Linked DNA regions of Caenorhabditis elegans. The gene in region 3 interacts genetically with the main gene of each other region. Each region holds a gene or a part of one and is shown on either strand. Other genes may lie near its edges.

Region 1 (6,582 bases), on a different chromosome or scaffold from region 3:
AAAACTATTGGCATTTCAAAATGTACGATTCGACGATGGAATATCTTGTTCACACACTTTTATATATACCAGCCGTTCGCACACGCAAAGCGCGTGCTCCGACTGGCGTACGCTAAATTGTTTTAATGAATTTTAAAGTGCTAATGTAGCATTTTTGTACAGTTATACATTCTCCTGGAGTTTTGCGGACTTTCAAGAAAATTCTACAACTTTCCAGGTTTTTCTTTAAAAAATTCCCAGAACTTTTTAGAAAATTCTAGAACTTTTCGGATTTCTTCAAATTTTAAGCGCTTCCAGAATTTAATAATATAATTTTTCTAGGTGCTACAAGCTTCCAGTTTAATCAAAAAAACTGACCTCCAGGCATATAAATGACCGCATTTTTTATTGGGAGATTTATTTAGTTTTCGTAATTTCAAAAATTAATATCTGACTTAAATTGAACTTTTTTGAAAATGTTTCTTCGGGGACTTGTTTCAAATTTTAAGCGCTTTCAAAATTTAATAACAAAATTTTTCTAGGTGCCAGAAGCTTCCAGTTTAATCAAAAAAACTGACCTCCAGGCATATAAATGACCGCATTTATTTATTGGGAGATTAACTAAGTTTTCATAATTTCAAAAATTAATATCTGACTTAAAATGAACTTTTTTGTCGAAGAATTTTTTCAAGAAATAATTACTTGAAGTTAATTCAATGTTTTACTGAAAACCCATGTTAAAAGTATTAAAACTTGCTATTGAAATTTTATCTAGAAAAAACTATTTTTTGAATTACCTCTGCTATGGGGGAGGCAATTGTGCGGTGGAGCGCACTTGCCGCCCATTTATTATTTTTTGGCAGCAAGGTTTTCTCCAAAATATTCTATTTTTTAATGTTTTCTTTTGTTTTTATTGAATATTTTGCTCTTTATATATGCAAAATTTTGATTTTACCAATTTTCATTCTTTGAGGTTCTTCAAATCTACAATGTGGCGTAGTTTACCGAGTTTGGTGTCTTCGGCTGTTCGGTTAGTTGATAAATCGAAGTTTGTTGAATTCCAGTTAATTTTTGCTTCTTTTAGATCACAAAATGCCGTCAACACACGATTTTCCAGTACAATGAAACAATTTTTCGATGATGAAGCGAATTTTGGAAAAGCAGAGCTCCGCCCGAAACATCGGCCGGGCAGATCGTGGACAGCAGAAGAACTGAGATTAAAAAGCAATTCAGATTTGCATAAGCTTTGGTAATTTAATGGCAATTCGGTTTTAAATTTATTAAAAATTTAAATTTAAGGTATGTGTGCTTGAAGGAGCGAAATATGCTGATAACGATGAAAAAAGCGCACACTTCACGTGCCCGGAACATGCCAAACCCAGAGAGACTTGATCGTGTTCATGAGGTATATTTTAAAAATTTAATAAATGCAAAATGATATATTTCAGACAATGGATCGTATAGAATCAGTAGTTCACGAGCGAAATGATGCGGTCTTCCGTTTGGAAACTGGAGAATCCGCGGCTCCACGCAAGAGAACAATCACTTCATTCGCTGGATTTACATATCAGTGAGTTCCTGATAAAATTAATTTTTTTAAAATAAAAATATGTTCCAGAAAACAAGCCACAGAACACTTTGCACCACCTCAACTCGGCCAGAAAGAATACGAAACTCCATATCTCGACGACGATGCCTACGTGATGCAGAAGCTTTGGCAGGAAAAAGAATTCATGAAAAATCGAGATAGATTGGATGATGAGAAGAGACGAGCGGCACGAACAGAAGACATGGACAGATTCAAGAGAGGAGCTCCACGAGTTTTCAATCGATAAAAAGTTGTTTCTAGATATTTTTTTTGTTTTCGAGTAGGCTTTTAAAAATGTTGTTTGCTTTGCTTCCTTCCTCAGTTTATTTAGTTTTTCAAAGAATATCCATTGTTCTTTTTTCTTGATATTTTGAAATATGCAACGGGTTTTGTCAGCCCATAGTTATCTGATATTACAAAAGGCTCCGTGTTGTTCTCATATTTTTCATTGAAAATCCCTTGATTTACATAGGAAAAAAAACCTAATTTTTAGCTGAAAAAAATTTAAAAAGTGGTAAAAAATTACCTGAAAGTTGTCTATTATCGAACTATCAAGCTATATTTTTCTGAAAACGGCCAGTTTTGAGCACTTTCTTGATTATTTCAGCTGGAAATAATTTTATTTTCGGAAAAAAACCAGTGATTTTCTATGCTTCTGATCATTCTCATAACTTTTTATTCTTAACGTAATTTTAAGCCCACAATGCACTAAATCGGCAGAAACATCTTTGAAAAATGCTCCAACAACACGGAATTAGTTTTCAAATGAATGCCGATAGACAGAACAAAGCAGCCACAACTTCCAATCGAATAGTCTCCGCTCCAGCTACAAATGAATTTGACGAGCGGCATCGTAAAGTTAGTATTTCTTCTCCTTTAAACAATTTTTAAGGAAAAAAAAATCATATTTCAGCAAGGGATTGATGCTGCAAGAGCTCTTGCTTCACAATATCGGAGCCGAATTACGGAAAATAGAGATGCAAATCAACGACAGGCTGCTCGAGAACTCAGCAGGTAGTTTTTTTTTTAAATAAAAGTCAATAAATTAAATATATTATTTTCCTCAGATATGTTCGAAGTGAGCTGAAAGACGAGCCAAATACTTTTAGTGATGCTTTCCTGAATGCAATCGATGGACGAACAGATATAGCCTCTCAGAGTGCAATTTATAATTGTATGAAGTCGAATTCAAATATCGATCAGAAACGAGCCGGTATCTATCTCATCGTGTGCTTAGCTGAAACTCATTCTGGAAATGTTATTCGATATGCGAATTATCTTCTGAAAATGTTAAATAATGGAAATGGATTAGATGAAGATACAGTCAAGATGGCTTCAAAAGCTCTCGCTTTTCTGATTGCGGTAAGTAATTTAATTTTTTTTAAACCAATTTTAAACATTTGCAGACTTGTAAATCATACGCGGCCGAGCTGGTTGATCGTTGTCTTGATCATTGCCACGAATGGCTTGGTCAAAATGTTCCACATAGTCAGCAACCCAAAAATCAACAGGAAATTGATCAAATTCGTCGACTCGCCGCTTCACACCTCTCTCGTGAGCTCGCACTGGCCACACCGACAGCATTCTTTCTTCGTGTAAACTTATTTTTCAAGTATATCTTCAACGCTGTCAGAGACAAGAATCCAGCTGTAAGAATCGCCGGAATTGATGCATTACACGTGGTTTTGACAATTGTTTCACAGCGTGAAGCAAAGAATAAAACTGAGTGGTTTAAGGTGATCAATTAAAATTTTGATCTTTCGTTAGAATGATTTTATATTCCAGAAATGTTTCGATGAAGCACTGGAAGGTCAACCAAACCCATCGCAAAAGGACGATTTGGATAGATGGCATGCCGTCGCCCTGATTCTCAATGAACTTCTTCGAATTTCTGATCAACGATTCGAACTCATCAGATGTGAATCCTCACAGTTTATTAAACAAAAGTTTTTGAAAGAAGACGAAGAAGAAGGTGTTGAATGGCTTGTCCTAACTAAGTAATCGATTCTTTTTCATCTATTTAAAAACTTGTATTTTTAAGGCAACAAACTATTGTGGAAAGTGTGACTGCTCGAAAGCTGGTTTTGGAACGATTTCCGAAGGTAAAAGCTGAAATTCTTCATTTCCCGAAATTTGTTATGTTTTTTTCCAGATACTCGATTGTGTTCGTCAGATAATACCTCTCGCAAACAAAACTTCATCCACGAAACAGCAAAGCTCGATTTACCTGAATACAGTTCTCATGCAGCTTCTACCAAGAATTTGTGCATTTCCACAATGTGATCGAACTTTTCAAACAATCTCATTCGACACTTCATTTACTATGTACGTAGAATGGAAGAGGACTGATGTTTATGGGCTTTTAGCTTTTATAGACTCGAAATGCGCTAAAAACGAATTTTGTAACGAGACTCAAAAAAAATTATGGTGATTCAAAATTTCCAATAATGTTCAATTTTTTCAGTCTTCAAAGAAATGCGGTCGCTGCTCCAGCAATCGGAATGATGATGCTCTCGAATCCAGATGTACATGCCACACATATCGAGAAAACAATCAGTTTTATCTCTGCTGCTATCAAGTAAATTTGAAATTAGTACACTTTTTTTAATAGTTAAATTTTGTAGAAAAACGACGAATTCTGATGTTCTCGATAATTATTTCACATTCCTGTTCCTATTTGTGGATGCTTATCACGAACAAGTGACGACACAAATCAAGGCAATAATTCCACAATTAATGGATATTACCCTGTCTCGATCGCTGGCAAACGTGCTAAAAATGATTATGATGAGAATTCCGAAACTGCGGCTGAATGTTCAAGATGGTGTTATGGCTTCTGTCTATCAAACACTCACTGGATCTCTAATTCCACCAAAATCCGAACCGATTGGAAGGCCTGCGAGTCCTAAAGCTATTTTGCAGGTTTGTTTCGTAGAGAAATTTTATAATTTTGCTCGAAGTAATTTTTTTGAATCTGAAAAGCACATAACATTTTTTAAATAAAGATCAGAATCCCATCAGATTTAAAAACGCTTACAATTTTATCTTTTTTGAAATAATTTTCCGTCAAAGTTTCGACATTTTTCTATATTCGAACCAAGGGCGTCGTTAAAAATTTGTATGATTTTTCGCTTTTTTCAGATATGTTCGAAAAACAAAAGACAGAGAAGCTATAAATTTATCGAAATTATCTTTTGAAAAATAGAGAAATGACCAGAAATTTTTCGAAATTTTTGATTTTTGTTTCCAGAAATCGTAAATTTAAAAGCCGAAAAATCGAAAAAAAAACCTAAACTTTGCGGGGTTTTCAAATATTTTCATAATCAGCAAAATAAGAAAATAGAAATGGCGACTTTTTAAAATTTAAATTTTTCGAACAGATTTCCTATGATATTTTATCATGTTAGCATTAACAATGGTTTTAAATATATTTCTCATTGGCGATATTTCTGTTGTGCAAAGAAGTAAATTCAAAAAATCTCAAATGAGAGTTTTGGGGTTGTATTTATGCAAAAGATTTATATTTCAGAAAGCAGAAACCGATCCAAAAGAGCTTCAACGAATCGTGCTGGCTGTCGATGTGCTCGGTGAATTCTATTTCTCAAGAGGTGCCTTGCAGAGAATCATGCAATACGTTGCAGATGTACGTTCGAAAGTTTTCTCGATTTTTCTGTAATTTTGTGGTTTTTCAGTACTACTTGACAGCGGACAATGTGGAAATCCGTTTGGCTGCTGTCTCTTCGTGTTGTGAAATGGTCGTACCATTTGTTGGAGTTTATAAAAAAGTTACAAGTGACAAGAGAAATAGTCTTCTTCAAACTATTTATGGTGTGCTGCGAGCTGTTTGTTCGGTTATTGTTAATGATCAAGGTAGGTATTTACTCGAAACTACGGTAACTGGTCGAAACGAGAATTAACCGCCTTTAAATAGCACTGTAATTTTAAAGTTTTATTTTTTTCGAAAATCGATAAACGAAAAAAATTGAATTTTCAATAATTCTTCTAGTCATCTCAATATTTTGGATTCATCATTTTTCGAAAAATCTATTTTTTTATTGTCTCGTCCGAACATCTCTCAATTTTTCTCGATTCTCAAAAAATGACAATTTCCCTATGATTTTCTGGAAAAAAGTCGGAAAATTTTAATGAAAATTCCGTAGCAACAAAAGTTTGAAATTACAGTACTCCTTAAAGGCGCATACCTTTTTCTATTAAAACAATTGTCGTGTCGAGACCGGGTACAGTACTAATGGCGCAAAATTGTGCTCCTGATCAAATATTCAAAAATGTTTTTAATTTATTTCAGATGTCCGTGTCAGAATGCAAGTAATCAGCTGTTTCGGACAAATGCCACGGCCATTCCTTGCTCATTTGGCTCAACCCGAAATGCTCGAAGTACAATTTATGGCTCTTCACGACGAAAAACTCGAAATGCAGCAAGCATGTGTGACGTTACTCGGACGACTCGCAGAGCTCAATCCGGCACTTGTTTTGCCACGTCTTCGATTGATGCTCCTAGAGACATTGAGTCAAATGCAACAAAGTGGTCAGGCAAGATTGGAGCAACATTCTGCGAAAATGATCGCGCAATTGGCGAAACAGAGTCCAAAGTTCATGAGACCATACGTTGGAAGTTTAATGATTGCTATGATTCCAAAATTGAGAAATGATCAAAAAGTTAGTTTTTTTTTGTATAAAAAAAATTTATTCCAAAATATTTTCCACAAAAAAGCTAAGAGGTCTATTTCGGAGCAGCTTCTGCGATTTTCCTGAGATCATCAGCTGACAAGTCACCCAGTTTTTCGTAGCCACCGTCCGCTCCGTCTGATCCATCATTAGGTTTGGCCTAAACAAAAAAATTTATAGAAAGATGAATTACGGTATCAAGTTAATTAAAATTTCCTACATTAGAAGCAATCTTTGATGGTTCACGAACTGTATGCATCATGGTATTGGCTCGAATTGCAGTGTGCATGCAGGAATCATCTGTATTTTTCGAGTTTTTTATCACAACT
Region 2 (8,002 bases), on a different chromosome or scaffold from region 3:
GGGAACAATAAATCATGAGAATGCGTACTTGGTGCATTTTATTTGACGCGCGATATCTCTTAGCGAAAAATACAGTAAGAACTCAAATAACAATAGATATTTAAGCTCTTACTGTAGTTTTCGCTAAGAGATATAGCGCGTCAAATAAAATGCACTAAGTACACATTCTCATGATTTATTGTTCCCGTAATATATTAAGCTGTTCAGAAATTTCCTGAATTTACCTCAAAACGGTATGATTATATATTTTTTAATTGGGCTCTAGCAAAAATGTGACCGAAGAGAAACAAATCTATAAATATTGGATACGTACCTTTCTTCATAGTCATCAATACTAACTCGGAAAATCGAAGAAGCAAGTCTTAGTCCGAGATTTCCGTAGTAGCAAAACCTCCTTCCAGATGCTACAAAACATTTCCACATGGTGCATAGAATTATCTCTCGGAAAATTCCCCTGAAACAATTACGACGATTTATGGATGTTATTTTCGAGAAGTTTGATTCTATTTCGCTGTTTGAATTGGAGAAAGATAATTTTAAATATTTGGAAACTTCGAATTCATTTAATCAATTATTTCAGTTTCATTTTATGAACATTTCTGGATTTTGTTACAGTTGTATTTTCTATTCCCATCTAATAATACGAGAGGAGAAAAATAAAACAATGTTCAAATTTGTAAAACCCCATGATAGTTTTTTTTTCAGATATTCTTACTTTGTTCCGTTCATCATTCCAACGAAACCGGATACAGTTCTCCATGTTATCCATAAATCAACAGTAATTTCCAGCAAGCCAAACTTATCGATTCCAAAGCGAGGAATTGTCCAGGATTTCCATGATTTGAGTGTTAATTGTTTTTGATATCGTGTTCTGGAAATTGGAATATTCAGAAATTTTCTTCAATAAACTTTAATTAACGTACTGGCACTGAATACACATAACTTGTTGTACAGCATTCGCTTTCGAAAACCACATGGCCAGGCATTGATGATGAACCCACTGAAAAAAAAGTTGGAGTGAAAAACTAGAATTATTCGCGAAAATCGAACAGTTTCTCAAGGTTATAACAAAAATTTTTCAAGGTTCCTGAACTTTCCTAGTTAATTTTAATATCAATTTTCGCAATATTTATTTTGATTCGATAAGCATATTGATTCATGTATCTCTTTTTTAATTTAACACTCATAAATTTAATTTTTCTATTCAATAAGCATAAAAAACATTTTTCGAATATGAAATCTCACGTGAATAGATCCTCGACATCGACACGGATGAACGAAGCTTAACGCATTATCACTTTCCGTTCCGAAGCAGAATTTACAATATTTCTCGGTTTCCTGCTCATTTCCGTCGATTTCTAACGCCATCTTCCGTAACGGTTTGTTTATTTGTTTTTTTTTAATATAAAATCTGATTTCCAAAGAGGAAACCGGATTTCTTTGGTAGATACTTGAAAAGCGATGTGATGAGGGAGAAATAGCGTGCAAAGAGAGGAGAGTTGTGTCGATTTACGCGAGTTGGAACTATGGCAGGCAACTTGTCGCTACGAGACCCATTGTCTCTTGGCTCAGCCTAAATTTATATCGATTTTTCGGAAAAAAACAAACGTTTTGTTGTTTTTTAAACTTGATTTTTGTTTCATAGGTTCAAAATTTTAAATTTCGATCAATATTTATTTCTTCAATGTTTTGAAATCAGGCATTTCGAAATTTATTGATTTCCGGTTGCGAAATTGGTTAAGACTTTGTTTACTTTCTGTTCTGACTGGCGATATCTTTGGAATTTACTCATAATTTTTGTTAAGTTCTTACAGATTCACACGGACTAAACGTAAAACCACTTCTATGCGATTGTATTTTATAGTTTTCATCGATCCATGTAATTTCTCTCGGTGTGCACGTTCTTTAAATTCTGTCGATACATGCACATCTTCTGCTCTTGAGTATGAAGGAGACGATGTGCAGTCATTTTTTATTGTTGACATCACCAGTTTAAATAATCGATATTCTAAACGCTGCGTTCTGCACTTTTTCTGTTCTTGCTATCTGTAGAGAAAACACTTTTACCTTCACTCTGCTCTTATTTTGAAAAATAACGTTATTCCTCCTCCCTCAATTTCCCCTTCTCTAATTATTCTCTATCGTTTTTTATTTTATTAAAACTCTTTTCAGTGACTTCCTCAAACTGAAAGATTATGTCAAACGCTGTTAGTAGGGGGCCTGGGAGAGGGAAGCCGAATCAAGGTAAGTGCTCACGGTTTTTGTCAGTTTTCTAATTCCTTCAAGGTTTTCATTCAGATCACAATGCAGTTCCTATGCAGGATTCATCCCAACAATTCGTGATGCCATTTGTTAACACATCTGGCCCAGTGAACTCAAAGTAAGAAGTTGAAAATATTTTCCATGGCTAAAGTTCTTTTTCAGCTATCAAAGAATGCCAATGAACCAGTCGGCGTATCCACAATATGGCCAACAACAATACAACCAACCACAAACAAATCACTATTATCCGCCACAAGCACCACAGCACCAGCAACAATAGTAAGTTTTTTTTTAAATATTAAATATATTTAGCTTATCATTTCCAAAATTTTACTCACACTGAAAAATAAATTTTCTTAAAAATATGAGTATCCCAAACGCTTACTTCTGTTACCTACCAGTTTTTCATGAATATCATTTTCAGTGGTGGATATCAGCGACCGGACTATGGTCATCAACCACAGATGTACAATCAACAGTACCAAGGCTACCAAGCTCCTCAGCAATACCACCCAGAAATGCCATATCAACCAGCTCAGCCAGCACAACAACAGATGACTCATACAGCTCCACAAGAACCTAAACGGCAAAGGAAAGCACTGGAAATTGTCGATCCAACTACGAAAAAGGCAATTGAAGTGACGCCTCATCTTGCACCAGCTGCACCAGCGCCAGCGGCTCCAGCAGCCCCGATTGCCCCAGAGGAAGAAAAGAAAAAACAAAACATTACTTTAGAATTCTTGAATCAGGTCAAAAATGAACTACATCATGAAGACAGACGACATGATAATCCTCCTGCGGTCCCAGCTGCGGTCCCAGCTGCGGTGCAAGCTGCTGTACTTCCCAATTTTAGCGTACCACCGCCAGCCCTGGGACAGACACCTCCAGCAGCATCCATAGCTCCACAAGTTGTACCGTCCGTTCCGAAAACTCCAGAAGCACCAGCAAAGGCTGATTACGAAGTAAAACAAGCAGAAACCCTTGTGACGCCTGTTTCATCTCCCCATGCATCAGACACAACCACCACTACGCCCGCCAGTGGAACTGCAGAATCAGCATCTACTGTAGCTGATGTCAGAGTTACTCCAACACTGACAAAGGAAGAATCAAAAGAGGAAACTGATGATGATAAATTTGAGGAGAATGATGAAAGAGAAAGTACGCCAGACGTTGCTGACTCTTCTACAGAAAAGACTCCTGAGGAGCTGGAAATCGAAAAAGCACAGAAAGAAGCCGAAGAGATTGAAAAGAAAAAACTTCGCGAGGAAGCTTTAGAGAAAAGAATCGAGGAGCTTATCCTGGCCGGAAGTGCTGTCATCTCGGATGGAACTTTTGGAAGAGATTTCATGGTTACTATTCGCGAAATTGAAAAAGTTTTCTCTCGGACCCCATGTCCACTGTCACCAGCTCAGCTAGCTGATTTCGGATTGGATATCAAAACGATGCGAGTTTCTGATAATAAGAAGCCTAATTTCACACCAAACTGGGCAAACAAAGGAGGAAACCGCCAGCAGGTTGTAAGTTATCATTATTTAATAAAAGCCATAATTCAAACAATATTGTATTTTCAGCCATACCGTGGAAGAACAACCACAGATGGAACCGGGCGTGGCGGTCAGCAGCAAAGAGATCGTATGCACAACAAGCGACCACCAGTTGTTAGACCTTCGATTGAACGAGTTCAGAGAGTTACACTTCCATCATCGAAAGATGCATGGAAGCCAGACCGTCAAAAAACCGCGGAAGCTGTTGCAAGCGAGGAAGCTGCGGTTATTGTAAGTTATTCGTGATTAATCAAAACTATAAACTGTTAAACCAAATTTCAGGAAGTTTGTAAGAAGGTTCGGTCTCTTATGAACAAGGTGACGCCTACATCACAACGTCCTCTCACCGAAGAATTCATTTCCTACAATGTATCCTCCAACGATGCGCAGCTCGCTCAAGTTGTCGAAATCGTCTTTGACAAGGCAGTTGAAGAGCCAAAGTTCTGTGCTTTGTACGCTGAAATGTGTAAGGCTCAGGCGAATCATGAACTATCCCAGACCGGCGGAAAGTCAGCCTTCAGAAATAAGGTTTTGACTCGGACGCAGATGACATTCCAGGATAAAAAAGACATTGATGCAGACAAACTGGCAATCATCGAAAAAGAAGAAGATCCAGTGAAAAAGGAATTGATGCTTGCAGAGGAGAAACAGAAATTTAGACGGAGAAAGTTCGGAGTTATGACGTTTATGGGTTATCTGTATAGAAATCAACTTTTATCCACAAAAATCGTCCAAACGTGTACATTCGAATTGTTCAATTCGATCAAGGACCAAGATATTAAAAAAGAGGATGTCGACGAGGAATCTATTCACTGTGGTCTTCAACTCATCGAGACTGTAGGCGTGATGTTGGATAAATCAAAAGATTCCACGACCGTATTCCTTGATCAATGGTTCCAGAAGTTGGAAGCTGCCAAACCTTACTGCTCAAACAAAATCCGTTTCATGATCATGAATCTTATGGAGCTTCGCAAAGACAAATGGATTCCAAGAAAATCTACCGAGTCTGGACCGAAAAAAATCGATGAAATTCACAAAGATATTCGTCAAGAGAAGATTGAAAATGAGAAAGCTCGTGATCAATATGATCGGGATCGTGATCGTCGTCATGGAGGTGTCAGACCAAACAGCAACTCTCTCAGAAAATCAGTTCCAGTCTCCAGGAATTCATTGGATAGGAACCGAGGAATGCAACACCCTGAACAAAAAAGAGCCGCTGCTGCAGCTAACACAAAACTTGCCTCATCGAGTAAGTATTTTCAGACAAATATTTCTTCAATATTAATTAATTGCAATTTCCAGGTGTTCAACCCAAAAACATCTCGCTCTCTTCGATGGATAATAATACTCTTGGGAAGAGCAAAAAAGAGTGGCATTCTGGTGCTTCTGGTGGAGGAAACACTTCTTCCGAATCTGCCGTTCCAGTCAAATCAGCTTGGGGGCGACGTGATTCCAATGATCAACGCAAAAAGTCGACTGTTGACGAGAAACAGGCCGCTTTAGCTGCTGCAAAGGAAATCAGTGCAATGTCAATTTCTTCGCGGCGATCCACATCACAAAATTCGAATACTGACAAGACCGACGATGAGCTGACTGAAGAAGAGAAAGCTGTCAGAGCCAAGATTATGAATACCGTTAAATCCGATCTTCTAGAAATGTCTAGTGGTGAGCTCTCCCAAAAGGAATTGGTTGACTCTATCACCGATTATGTTGGAAAAGAAAAATACGGTTCGCCGTCATTGACAGTAGTCTATGAGATGATTATCCGAGCTGTGATCGAAAAAGGTTTGAAGGATGATGATCGAAAGAAGTTGGCTATTGCTCTGCGGATGTCATTGGTCAGCAAGACTGAGAAGCAAGCTTTTATAGAGGGGTAAGGCAAGAGTTTATGATTTATTGAGCTTTACAAATTATTTCAGAGCTACCCGTTTCTGCAAATTCGCTAATGATGTTGAGCTCCAGCAAGATTATCCCAAATTGTGGACCGTTACTGGTGAAGTTCTCGTGAACACAAGTCATGCTCCACATGACGAAATTGGAGAAGTTGAATCTTTCTCATTAGCGGACATGAAGCCAATTTTCTCAGCTGCCAAAGGAGAAGGAAATAAGAAATTTGACCTTCTTGTTCAAGTTTTGAAGCAATTGGTGAGTTATTGCAAATTTTAGTGCTCAGATTCAGTACATTGCGTTTATTTTTTTAATTTAATTTTTTTCAGATCGAGCTTGAGCTTGAAGTGACTGGCGCTGCAGAAGGAATCTCGTGGGAGTTTTCGGACATGAAGTTAAAGACTGAGATGGAAGAAGGACTTTCAGCAGAAATGGAAGCAGTGACGTTTAAAAATGGAAAAACGTTGTCGAGCTATTTGACGGGCAACTAATTTATCGTATTTTTGGATTTTCAAACTCCACAGTAGATTTATAGAGAACTTTTTTGTGTGCTAAAACCCATTTTAATTATCTATATAAGAACGAGTTGTTGATAATACGGTCTAAACATGTCAAGTTTTTCGTTTTTTCGCCGCGCGTCCATCCCTACCGATTTTATGTCTTATTGGGTATCCCATTAATGGTTTTCGATATTATTGCTTGTTTTTCTTTTGTTAGAGGTTTGCAAGAAAAGTTTCAAAATGAATAACTGATTATCATGATTTAGCTGAAGTAAATCAATTTTCAGACATTCAGATCATTTTTCCTGCAAACTTCCGCTCATTCTACAACTCGTCTCGAAACGTGAAGATTCTCTTCATTTTTCGTTTCGAGACGCAGAAATCAACTCGTTATAGCCCCTTTCCCACCCACCTTACCCTTTTCTTCTGATGATCACTAAAAATATCACGTTTTCCTCCAAATCATTAAATATTTATATCCTCATTTGGATTCCCGTTTCGTTTATTTGCTCCCAGTTCCCATTTCTTTCATTCGTTTTTCTATTTGAATAACCCTTTCATAGTCTCCTTGTTTATTGTTTCTAAATTAGCTGTTGGTTTTTTATTGGTTTCTCCCTTCATATTTCCATACCAGTTGGTCCCGAGAACATTTCTTGCTATGCTTGTTTTCGTGCTTAAAGGGTCTTTTCTAAGAGACGGTCGAAAAGTCGCTGAATTTTTTCGGAGTGCTGGAATTTCGTTGAATTGCATCGAATTTATCGTAAAACGAAGACTTTTGACTAGCTCTTAGCTTCATTTCTTTTCCAAATTTCCTAATTGTGTGTAAGTCAGTGCCTTCGGTCTGATTCCTGGATCTTCTAGAAATTGTGACAATTGGTTAATTTTAATATCCTCTCATCAGCCCATCTTAAATTTTCCACTTCCTTGAATTCTACGTTTTTCCTGTTTTAACTAATTGTCCTTCCGTTATTATCATCATCACCACCTCCACCACAAATAAAAATGGGCATCAAAATTGTTTTTTTTTTTTTTCATCATAGTTCTTGTTGGGGTTGTTCCCCATTTATATAGCTTGCTCTGTTTTCTCATCAAATGCTCACAGTTTTACGTTGACTCGATTTTGAATAAATATTTAGGAAATCGTGTCACTGGCGAATGTAAATGAAATCTAATATGAGAAGGAATAATATAAACAGTAATCGAGAGAATTTCGCCGTTTCGCAGGTTTGTTTGAATTTATTTAAAATTTAGACCTATAAAATTAAATAGTTTTTGAAAAAATTTGCTACAGTAACCTTTGATCTACCCGCGCAAATCTCAATTCTTTTTTCGTTAGAAACTTCATTCATCTTTCCTTGAGACAGGTTTTCAATTTTTGTCATTTTTCTTTACATTATAAAATTTTAAACTTTATTCTCGATCTGCGTAGTAATGGTGATGCTTGTCGAGGTTTGCGACAATGAATAGAAGAATAGGCAACTGATTTCTTTCAATTTTATTCGCTTCTCTCTCTCGTCTTCGCCTCAAAACTATTCTCTCAGTCTAAGACAAAAAACTGGTCTGGACACAGTGACTGTATGCAGAGTGTTTTTAACCCTTTTCTACCTCTCGTGTGCGCGCACGCTCACATACACACGCGGAGGATGTCCGTGAAGAAAAGAAAAGTAGAAGAGGATGAGAGACGTAGACATGTCCAGCATGCAGCATTAGTAGGGGTCCCTCTTCAGTCGATATTTGTCTCAATTTGAGTGGAGGCAAAGGAAAGCCGGCTTTTTTGGTGATCTGATCCTGTCAGTTTTATTTATGCAT
Region 3 (9,672 bases):
CGCTCGATAACAATTGATACAGCGACAAGTGACCTATAAAAAGTTTGGTCTTTTTACACTTTGCAAAGTTCTCTTTTTTTCGACAAGCCCGGTTTGCAGCCACTGATTAGCCGGAGCGGCTGTTCGGCGAGCAGGTGAAGGCTCACTAGATGACTCCGGAAGAGAATTTGTTCATTGCAAATTTCGCTCGTTTTTGTCTTTATTCTAAATTTCGCGTTTTTACGGGCTTTTGAAGCTGTAAAATGACTCAAAACCGCCGAGAAACCGATTTTAACACCGACAAAATCACTGTCCCTGGTCTTGACACGACCGGGTGTACGGTAGTATTTTGTTTTCGTGTTTTTTGAAATCGGCAAGCAAAGCTCGAATTTTCCCGTGCAATTCACCAATTTTCCCGTGCAATTCGGTAATTTTCCACTGCATTTCGGCAATTTTCCAGTGTAATTCGGCAATTTTCCAGTGCAATTCGGCAATTTTCCCGTGCAATTTGGCAATTTTCCAGTGCAATTCGGCAATTTTCCCGTGCAATTTGGCAATTTTCCAGTGCAATTCGGCAATTTTCCCGTGCAATTTGGCAATTTTCCAGTGCAATTCGGAAATTTTCCATTGCAATTCGGCAATTTTCCAGTGCAATTCGGCAATTTTCCAGTGTAATTCGGCAATTTTCCCGTGCAATTCGGCAATTTCCAGTGCAATTCGGCAATTTTCCCGTGCAATTTGGCAATTTTCCAGTGCAATTCGGCAATTTTCCCGTGCAATTTGGCAATTTTCCAGTGCAATTCGGAAATTTTCCATTGCAATTCGGCAATTTTCCAGTGCAATTCGGCAATTTTCCAGTGTAATTCGGCAATTTTCCCGTGCAATTCGGCAATTTTCCCGTGCAATTCGGCAATTTCCAGTGCAAATCGGATGATTTTTCTCGTTTTCTCGCAATTTTTAAAAGAAAACCCAAAGTTTTTCAAAAATTTCAATCGAAATTTGATAATTCGAACCATGCGAAAAAGCGTGAATTTGTAATTCTCTCTGAATTGTTGCAAACCGCGGGTGGGGGGAGTGAAAAACGAGAGAAAGACGCTCCCCAATACAATATAGACACCATCAAATTTAAAGAGACGGATGCGCTTGCTCTGTGTCTCTTCTCTCTCTCTCTCACTTTTTTGGTTGAAGGGACGTTTCTATGTCTCTTTCTCTCTCTCTCATCTCTCTGGTTAGGTTGATCGTTCTCTGGTGCACTCTGTCGATTGACGTACTATTTCTTGTGTATGTGTCACCTCCCCAGTGTCCGTCCGCAGGTTTCTCTTCGCTTACACCAGACCACCTTTCCACGCTTTGTGTCAAATCAGCACTATCGATTGATTTGAACTTTTTTTTTTGGAATTTTTTTTCTGGTGGGGGGATTTTCGACCAATTTAAGTTAAAAATTTAAAACAAACTTTTTTTCAAAAAATAAACTTTTCGGTTTAAAATTATAAGAGTATTTTAAATAGTTGACTTTTAAAATTCTTTTGCGAAATTTGAAAATATCGAAAAAAAAAAATTCTTTTTCTCCTGTCATATCTTTAATTTGACGACTTTTTCTCGAAAAAATACCAATAAATTCGGTAAATTTCCGTTTTTAGTGAACAAAAAATACATTTTCTCTGAAAAATACAGGAAAATTCCGTTTTTGGTGTAAAAACCGAATTTTTAATAACAATTTTGTTTAAATTTAACGGATTTTTGAGTTTTTTTTTTAATGACATGAAATAATTTTTCTAAAATTTGTTAAAAGTGAAATTATCAAGAAAATGCTCTGAAAAACTCCGATTTCTCGGATTTGTTAATCGAAAAACGGAAAATCCGAAATTTTTGGTATTTTTCAGAAAAAAAGCGATAAAAATCTTATTTTTTTCCGCTAAAACTGGAAATTTTCGGGATTTTTCAAAAAAAAAATCGATTTTTTTTTGTTTTGAAAATTGAAATGATTGCTTCTAAAAATAAATGTTCTAGTTTTAATTTAACTTTAAATTATTTATTATTGATATTTTTTTATTAAAAGTGACGAAATATTACCGCAAATTCCCCATGTGATCATTATTTTCTGAACAAATGATGACATAAAAAACACCTGATCTCCCGGGAGAGGGGTCGAAAAACACTTTTTTTTGTTGTTTGAGAAAATACCAGAACACTTTGGAATTTCGCAACGACGAAATCAAATCTTTTAGGCTTCTTATAGTTTCTTATCGCCAAAAAATTGATTGAAAAGTGATAATGGAGACAGTTTTTTCTCGTTTTTGCCACGATTTGTGTGCTTTGAAACTGAAAAAAGTCAATTTTTCAGTGAAAAACGGAAAAAATTACGAATTTTCTTGTTTTTTTGTTTCGGAAAAAATTCATTATTTTATAAATTTTATATTTAAAAATTGACTTTTAATATATACAATAATTTCCATTTTAGACTCTTTTTTTTCTTTTAATTGTCATTTAAAAAAAACCTGAAATTTCAAAAAAAAAATCGATTTAAAAGGAGGATTTTTCTTTTAATTGCAAATTAAATATAATTTTCCACATTTCAAAATGCACGAAAAAAAAATCAAAAATTTAAAAATTCCCAGAAATCGACAGAAAAATGTGTTTTTTTTGTGCGTTTATTTCTATTATTAATTATCGTATCTCTGTATCTCTCTATCTTTTTCACAAAAATCAATCGATATTCCCATTATCTTAATAATTTTTTACCTTCTTGCAGGTTATACGAACCAATTTATATATTGTACACATTTGGATGGGCTGATCTCTTTGGAAACACACACCACTCCGTGCTGCTCCAAATTATCACTGCTTTTTTCCTTATTAATTACAAAAAATACAAATATCTATAATAGTACCTAATTAATTTTTTTTGTGATAAAAAATCCACAAAAACACGAAAAAAAAACGATGGCTGACGTGTTCGAGTTCGAGCTGGAAGGCCACGAGTCACAGGCATCGCCACAGCGTCATGCGTGAGTTTTTTTTTTTGGGTAAAAACATACAAATTGTGGGGAAAATCGGTTTTTTGCTTTAAATTTTCTGCGAAAATTGATGAAAAATTGCAGATTTTTCGTATTATAAAGTCAAAATCTGTACAGTTATAATAAAATTGATAAAAATTGAAGTTTCTGTAAAAACTTGTTAAAAACTTTAAAGGTGTTTTCACGAAAAATTTAAAATTTGCACTGGTTTTCAGGTTTTTGTTATCGAAAAAATGCTAAAATTTCGAATATTCCACAAAATTTTTCGGTTTTTTGAAAAAATTCAGATTTTTCCGACAAATTCGAAATCTGCAGTTTTTTGGAGAAAATAATTGCATTTTCAAATTTTCTACAATTATTGTAGAAAACTGGTGAAAATTTCGATTTTTTCCAACTAAAATTGTGATTTTCTGGAATTTTAGATTGAAAAATGACATTTTCGACTGTCAAAAACTGTTTTCTGAGCTGAAATATGCTAACTTTAACAAAAAAAATTTTTTCATAATTTTCGGAATTTCCGAACATTCCACAATTTTTCAAAAAAATTTACAGTAAAATTTTTTATCTTAAAAATCATTTTCTAATTTAAAAAATTCATTTTTTTTCAATTTTCCGATTGCACCAATGATCAGTGCTTTGTGTCATTAATCAGGTGATAACAGAGAGGAAACTACAGAAAATTGACATTTTTTAGACTAGAAAGTGGATTTTTTTGGTGAATTTTTCAAAAATTTGCGGAAAAATAAGCGAAATACAGAAAATTCGGGTTTTTCAAATTTTATCAATTTTATTCGAAAACTGTGCGGATTTTGACTTGAATAATTTTAAAAATTGGAAAATTCGCAATTTTCCATCAATTTTTTTTTGGAAAAAAAAATCTAAAAGAAAGCGTTTTTTTCTTCAAAACTGTGTGTTAAAAGCGAAAAATGGCTGAAAACTTAGAAAAAAATGTTTTTAATTTTTATTTCAGATATCACTATGACAACTGCACGGAAATCATGGAGGACGATCACATGTACAGCAATGTTGCTGATGTATGGTTTTTTGACAAGTTTGAGAGCTAAAAAAATCTATTTCCCATGCGAATATTAAGAAAATTCACGATTTTTGCCGTTTTTGACGGTCAAAAACGCTGAAATTCGCCCCGAAAATGCAAAATTTTTGCCACTTTCCCAGCTTATTACCTCAAAACTAAAAAATTGTGAAATTTCACCATTTCTCACTATTTTGCCGGCTTCTGACAATTTCAACGTTGCTGAAACGCTGAAATTTGCCGAAAAATAGTTTAAAATTATATTTCTGTGGTTTCTGTGCCTTTATCCTTATTGTCGACTGGAATTCTGGTATTCTCGGCTGAAAATGCAATAAATACCGTATTCCGGCCAACAATTTGCCAATAGAGCACATTTACCACTGGAGATGCGGAAGCTATGCTCAAATTTTAATTTTTTTTCTCATTTTTCCAGGGACAAATTTCTGCTCCACCGCCGAGCTCATCGTATATGGAGGATCCGATGATGGAATCGATTCAACTGTGTGCCAGTGCAATTAATCCACCAAATGTTCGTGTTGGACCCGAAGATTTTCAGCTTTTGAAAGTTCTTGGCAAGGGAGGATATGGAAAGGTTCGAAAATTGTCGTTTTTCTCAAGAAAAAAATTAAAAATTGTAATAAAGTTACTAAAAAACTGAAAAAATCCATTTTTAGCACTAAAAATGCTGAATAAATAAAAAATTTTAAAAAAATTAGCAAAAACTCAGATTTGGACTTTTTTGCGAAACTTCTACAGAGAAAACCATGAGAAACGTTGAATTTTCGATAAAAACCTGTAGAAAAACTCCAAAAATCAGCTTAAATGCGAAAAAATTACAATTTTGCTGCAAAACCCTGTAAAATAATTTCCACAGAAAGTACATTAAAAAAAATAAAAATCTTACTAGAAATTACTAAAAATTACAATTTTGATATTAAAACCTCTGACTTCCTTTTTTGATTAAAAATTCTACAAATTTCTTTTTTCTTTTCTCTGGAAAACCTGGAAAAATGTCAATTTCAATTTTTCACTCAAAAAAAGCCCAAAATCGCAACAGAAAAAAAATCAATTTCGCCTAAAAAATTTAAATTCTGTAAACTTCAATTTTTCCCAAAAAAAATGTGCGACAGAATATTAAATATGGTCAAAATCGCCCGAAAAATGTGAAAATTCTGAATTTCCAAAAAAAAAATCCACCTAAACCCTGAAAAAACCTTTTAAATTATGCGAAAAACGAAAATTACCATTAAAAAGCGGGGGAAAAAACATCAATTTTCAAAAAAAAACTCCGAAAAAATGAATTCAAAAAATTGAAAAAAAAAACTTTTTTCGTAATTACAATTTTATAAATTTCATTAAAAAATTTCCAAAATCGTAAAAAATCCAATTCCTACAAAAAAAGTGAAAGTTTTCAATTTTTTGCAAAAATTAACAGAAAAATCGCCTTAAAAAACAAAATGTTGTAAATTTCAAATTTTTGAGCAAAAACGAAAATAAAATCGAAAAAATTGAATTTTAATACAAAACCCACCTGAAAACCTTCTGAAAAAAAACACTTATTTTCTTAGTACAATTCTATAAATTTTTCAACAAATTCCAGGTATTCCAAGTGCGAAAAACGACGGGCTCCGACAATGGCCAAATCTTCGCGATGAAAGTGCTCCAAAAAGCGACAATTGTCAGAAATCAAAAGGATACAGCTCACACGAAAGCCGAACGAAACATTCTTGAAGCAGTCAAGTCTCCGTTTATTTGTGATTTATTGTACGCATTTCAAACCGGTGGAAAACTGTATTTAATCCTTGAATATCTATCTGGCGGCGAATTATTCATGCATTTGGAGCGAGAAGGAATGTTCATGGAGAACGTCGCAAAGTTCTATCTCTCGGAAATCGTCGTCTCTCTGGAGCATCTTCATCAGCAAGGAATCATCTATCGAGATTTGAAGCCAGAGAATATCCTTTTAGACGCCTATGGACACGTTAAGCTCACAGATTTTGGTCTTTGTAAGGAGGAAATCGAGGGAGATCAGAAGACTCACACATTCTGTGGAACTATCGAATACATGGCACCGGAGATTCTGATGCGTTGTGGACATGGAAAAGCTGTTGATTGGTGGAGCCTCGGAGCTCTGATGTTTGACATGCTCACTGGTGGACCACCGTTTACCGCTGAAAATCGCCGAAAAACGATTGACAAAATCCTGAAGGGACGGCTTACTCTGCCGGCCTATTTGTCGAATGAGGCTCGAGATTTGATCAAGAAGCTTTTGAAACGCCATGTGGATACCCGGCTCGGCGCGGGTCTCAGTGACGCGGAAGAGATCAAAAGTCATGCGTTTTTCAAGACTACGGACTGGAACCTGGTCTACGCACGGCAGCTTGAAGCCCCATTCAAGCCGAATATAGAGAACGACGAGGATACGTCGCTGTTTGACGCGCGTTTCACAAAAATGACGCCGGTCGATTCGCCGTGTGAGACGAATTTCAGTTTGAATGGTGATAATCCGTTTGTGGGATTCACCTATGTCGCACCGTCTGTGTTGGAAATGATGAATAAGGGAGGACATGGTGGAATTTCGGTGGCACATTTGGCTTCGTCTATGTCGAGAGCTGGTGCTGCGAAGAGCCCGAGAAAGTGCGTGGAATTTGTGGGAAATTTTTGCGAAAAAATTCGAATTTTTAGAAAAAATCGCCGAAAAAAAAAAACTGAAAAACTTAGAAAATTTGCTTTAAAAACTGTTAAATTGGTATTTTTTAGAAAAAATTGCCAAAAAAAAATTTCAAAAAAATTATGAAAAAAAGAACAGAAAAATAGGCATTTTTCGAAGAAAATGCCGAAAAAGGAAAATTGGAATTTTTTATTCAAGAAATCGCCATAAAAATTGGAATTTTTATCCGAGAAATGCTAAGAAAATCTGAAAAAATCGGATTTTTTCTAAAGAAATCGCAAAAAAAAAGGTTTTTTTTTTCCAAATAAATGAATTACCAACGAAAAAATCTAAAAATTGAATTTTTTCGAAGAAATTCTCATAAAATCAGAAAAATTGGATTAAAAAAAAAAAAGAATAATTTACCAAAAAAATCTGAAAACTTCGAATTCTTAGAGAAAATTTTCTTTAAAATTTAATTTCCGCATTTTTTTGGGAAATTTCTTAAAGCTCCAAAAAAGCAAATTTAAGGAAATGTATCAGTATCAGACTTTCAGAAATTTCCCTAAAATTATGGAAAATTCCAACAAAAAAAAAGGAAAAATGGAATCTTTTGAGGAAATTGTGAAAAAATTGGAATTTTTTGAAGAAAATTCCGAAAAATTGGAATTTATAGGAAATTGTCGAAAAAAAAGAAAAGAAAAATTGACTTTTTTCAAAAAACTGCTTCAAAAAATCTGAAAATATATTTAAGAAATTAACAATCTCCAAAAAAAAAAAGTACAATAAAAAATAATTCCAAGCCCGGTAGAGAAAGTCCAATTAAAGAAAAATTACTATAAATTTACCGAAAATTTTCTTTAAAATTTGAAAAAAAGATCAGTTTTTAGCAATAATTTTTTGAATTGCCAATTTACTAAAAAAAATCCCGAAAAAAATTTAAAAAAGCCTTTTTTATGCAATTTTTCTTAAATTTAAAATTTCTCCAAGTATATGAAAAATCCCAAAAATTTGGAATTTTTTTTCAGGCCAGGAGACCCAGAAACGGCGAGCATTCTTCACGGTGGTCACTCGAATTTGTTCGGTCACGGACCAAATAGTGAAGCCCCACAGGCTTTTGGATACGGAATTGGTAGTCAAATGACTACTACTACTGCTGGAGGAGCAGGAATTCAACAGCCATATCAATCATTTAGTGGTGGATATCCAGAAGATGATGCAATGGATACATCTACACCACGTGCTAGTGAAAGTCGTGAAACTACTACTGGAAATGGATCTACTACGACGACAAGACCATCAAATGTTGGAAGTTCTGCGTCAACACCTATTCCATTGCCGAAAAGGGTGATGTAAATGTGTGGGCGGAAAGGTGCGGAAAATTCAAATTTCCCCGAAAAACTTACAAAAATTGGAGTTTTCGTAAAAATTCCACGAAACAATTGTGAAAATCAATTTTTTCACCAAAATTCACCTTTTTTCCATGGAAAAAGCTGCGAAAATTCATAATTTGTACAGAAACTGATTCAATTCTCAACTTTGCATAAATTTTGATCTAAAAATTGAAATTTTCGCGCGGAAAAATTACAAATATAGCGTGGAAATTGTTTTTTTTTTCCTACCCATGAAAACACAGTTTTTTGTGGAAATTCCATTATTTTTGTGTAGAAAAATATTGAGAAATGACTTTTTGGAATGAAAATTGCTTTAAAAAAATTGATACAAAAGGTGTAAATTTTTTTTAAGAAAAAACATGCAAAAAAGGGTGAAATCAGTGAGAATTGCCGATTTTAAGCCGAAAAAATTCAATTTTTGAGAAAAATGTGTAATAAATTGTAAAAATTAATTTTTCAAAAAAATTGTAAAAATTCGATTTAAAAAAACCGAAAAAAGCGGAGAATTTCCACTTTTTTTTGGAAATTATTTTTTAATGGAAATTGAAAAAAGTAAAGTTATTTACTAGAAATTTATTTTCACATTAAATTTCACAACACGAAAAATGTAATACAAGTTTTTTTTTTCAGAAAATTGCCACACACACACACCTCTACACAAAATGCTCAATATTCATTCATGCTTCTTCTCCTTAACGTGTCGTTGTTCTTCCACTTTTTCTGAAAATTTTCACACAAATTTTCGAATTTCTTGTATCCATTTTTCGTTCGTTCGTTATTTTTTTTATTAACTTTACACTCTTAATGCCGATTTTTTTAAAAGGCGCTTCATCATCCCACCAGAGATTACGATCTGTGTGGACCTCCCGCGGGGACCAATTTCATGTGAAAATTTCGAAAAAAATTGATAATTTTGGCACTTTTTACCCCTAAAATTGAGTCTCGGCAGGGGGGTCGAATAAATACGGAGGTACTTTAATCTCTGGCTTGTTTTCATGTTTGGGATTCTTTTTTCTCTTTTATGCGCTCACTTTTTTTTCGTTCTTTACTCGTTTTTTTTTGTCTTTTTCGTGTAATTTTCCCTGTTAGCTCCCCTTTTTTTCGATAGAGCGCATTTGCATTTTGGAATTTTCAAAAAAATTTGAAATTTGCTTTTTTGCCGGGAAAAATTGACTCAAAACTCGAAATTTTGAAAAAATCTTAATTTCAGCTTTTTAAAAACAATTTTTCTGAAAAAATATCTCCAGAAATTTTTTCAAATTAATCTGAAATTTTGGGGTAAAAATTACAAGTTTTTCTTTAAATTTTTTTAGGATTTTCCGTGAAATTCACAATTTTTTCTTGAAAAACCGCACTCTTGGATTTTTTTGTCTTAAATTCAAAAATTTCGATTATAAAATTGCAAAAAAAAACCATTAAAGCAAACGCGCTCCACCGAGAAATCTTCAAGGGATACACACACACTTTATGCCGGGATTACGGTAGTCATTTTTGCTCATTTTTTTTGCTCTCCTTCCCCCAACTCGAACCACTATATTTGCTTCCTACCAACCCAACCCCTTTCGAGTATTATCTCGTGATATTCAATGTTTTCTTTAT

The links.
Region 1: of rsks-1 (region 3) and let-363, changing one suppresses a phenotype caused by changing the other (phenotypic suppression), as found in Caenorhabditis elegans (one study listed by BioGRID).
Region 2: of rsks-1 (region 3) and ifg-1, changing one enhances a phenotype caused by changing the other (phenotypic enhancement), as found in Caenorhabditis elegans (one study listed by BioGRID).

Annotation. Positions count from the first base shown.
Region 1 is NC_003279.8:5,243,479-5,250,060, forward strand, and holds the start of let-363 (Target of rapamycin homolog), read left to right. Parts: upstream 1-2,264; 5' UTR 2,265-2,302; coding exon 2,303-2,425; intron 2,426-2,480; coding exon 2,481-2,581; intron 2,582-2,634; coding exon 2,635-2,929; intron 2,930-2,973; coding exon 2,974-3,303; intron 3,304-3,352; coding exon 3,353-3,564; intron 3,565-3,608; coding exon 3,609-3,669; intron 3,670-3,719; coding exon 3,720-3,892; intron 3,893-4,031; coding exon 4,032-4,145; intron 4,146-4,191; coding exon 4,192-4,489; intron 4,490-5,096; coding exon 5,097-5,210; intron 5,211-5,259; coding exon 5,260-5,437; intron 5,438-5,873; coding exon 5,874-6,244; intron 6,245-6,255; exon of another isoform or gene 6,256-6,308; coding exon of another isoform or gene 6,309-6,413; intron 6,414-6,473; coding exon of another isoform or gene 6,474-6,582. Other genes in the region: mrpl-47 (Large ribosomal subunit protein uL29m), read left to right, coding at 915-1,009, 1,064-1,228, 1,279-1,384, 1,428-1,549, 1,598-1,814; B0261.5 (uncharacterized protein), read right to left, coding at 6,309-6,413, 6,474-6,582. UniProt on the Caenorhabditis elegans protein: Serine/threonine-protein kinase that regulates the mRNA translation machinery, probably by modulating the activity of translation factors such as eIF-4G and eIF-2. It may have some protein kinase activity instead of lipid kinase activity.
Region 2 is NC_003280.10:8,215,059-8,223,060, forward strand, and holds ifg-1 (MIF4G domain-containing protein), read left to right. Parts: upstream 1-2,195; coding exon 2,196-2,244; intron 2,245-2,286; coding exon 2,287-2,380; intron 2,381-2,424; coding exon 2,425-2,541; intron 2,542-2,686; coding exon 2,687-3,779; intron 3,780-3,833; coding exon 3,834-4,037; intron 4,038-4,088; coding exon 4,089-5,055; intron 5,056-5,108; coding exon 5,109-5,679; intron 5,680-5,725; coding exon 5,726-5,951; intron 5,952-6,022; coding exon 6,023-6,184; downstream 6,185-8,002. Other genes in the region: M110.3 (E3 ubiquitin-protein ligase MARCHF5), read right to left, coding at 314-454, 716-871, 924-1,000, 1,246-1,368.
Region 3 is NC_003281.10:11,242,389-11,252,060, forward strand, and holds the start of rsks-1 (Ribosomal protein S6 kinase beta), read left to right. Parts: upstream 1-2,731; 5' UTR 2,732-2,922; coding exon 2,923-2,987; intron 2,988-3,966; coding exon 3,967-4,030; intron 4,031-4,462; coding exon 4,463-4,621; intron 4,622-5,629; coding exon 5,630-6,666; intron 6,667-7,707; coding exon 7,708-8,035; 3' UTR 8,036-8,051; intron 8,052-8,703; 3' UTR 8,704-9,672.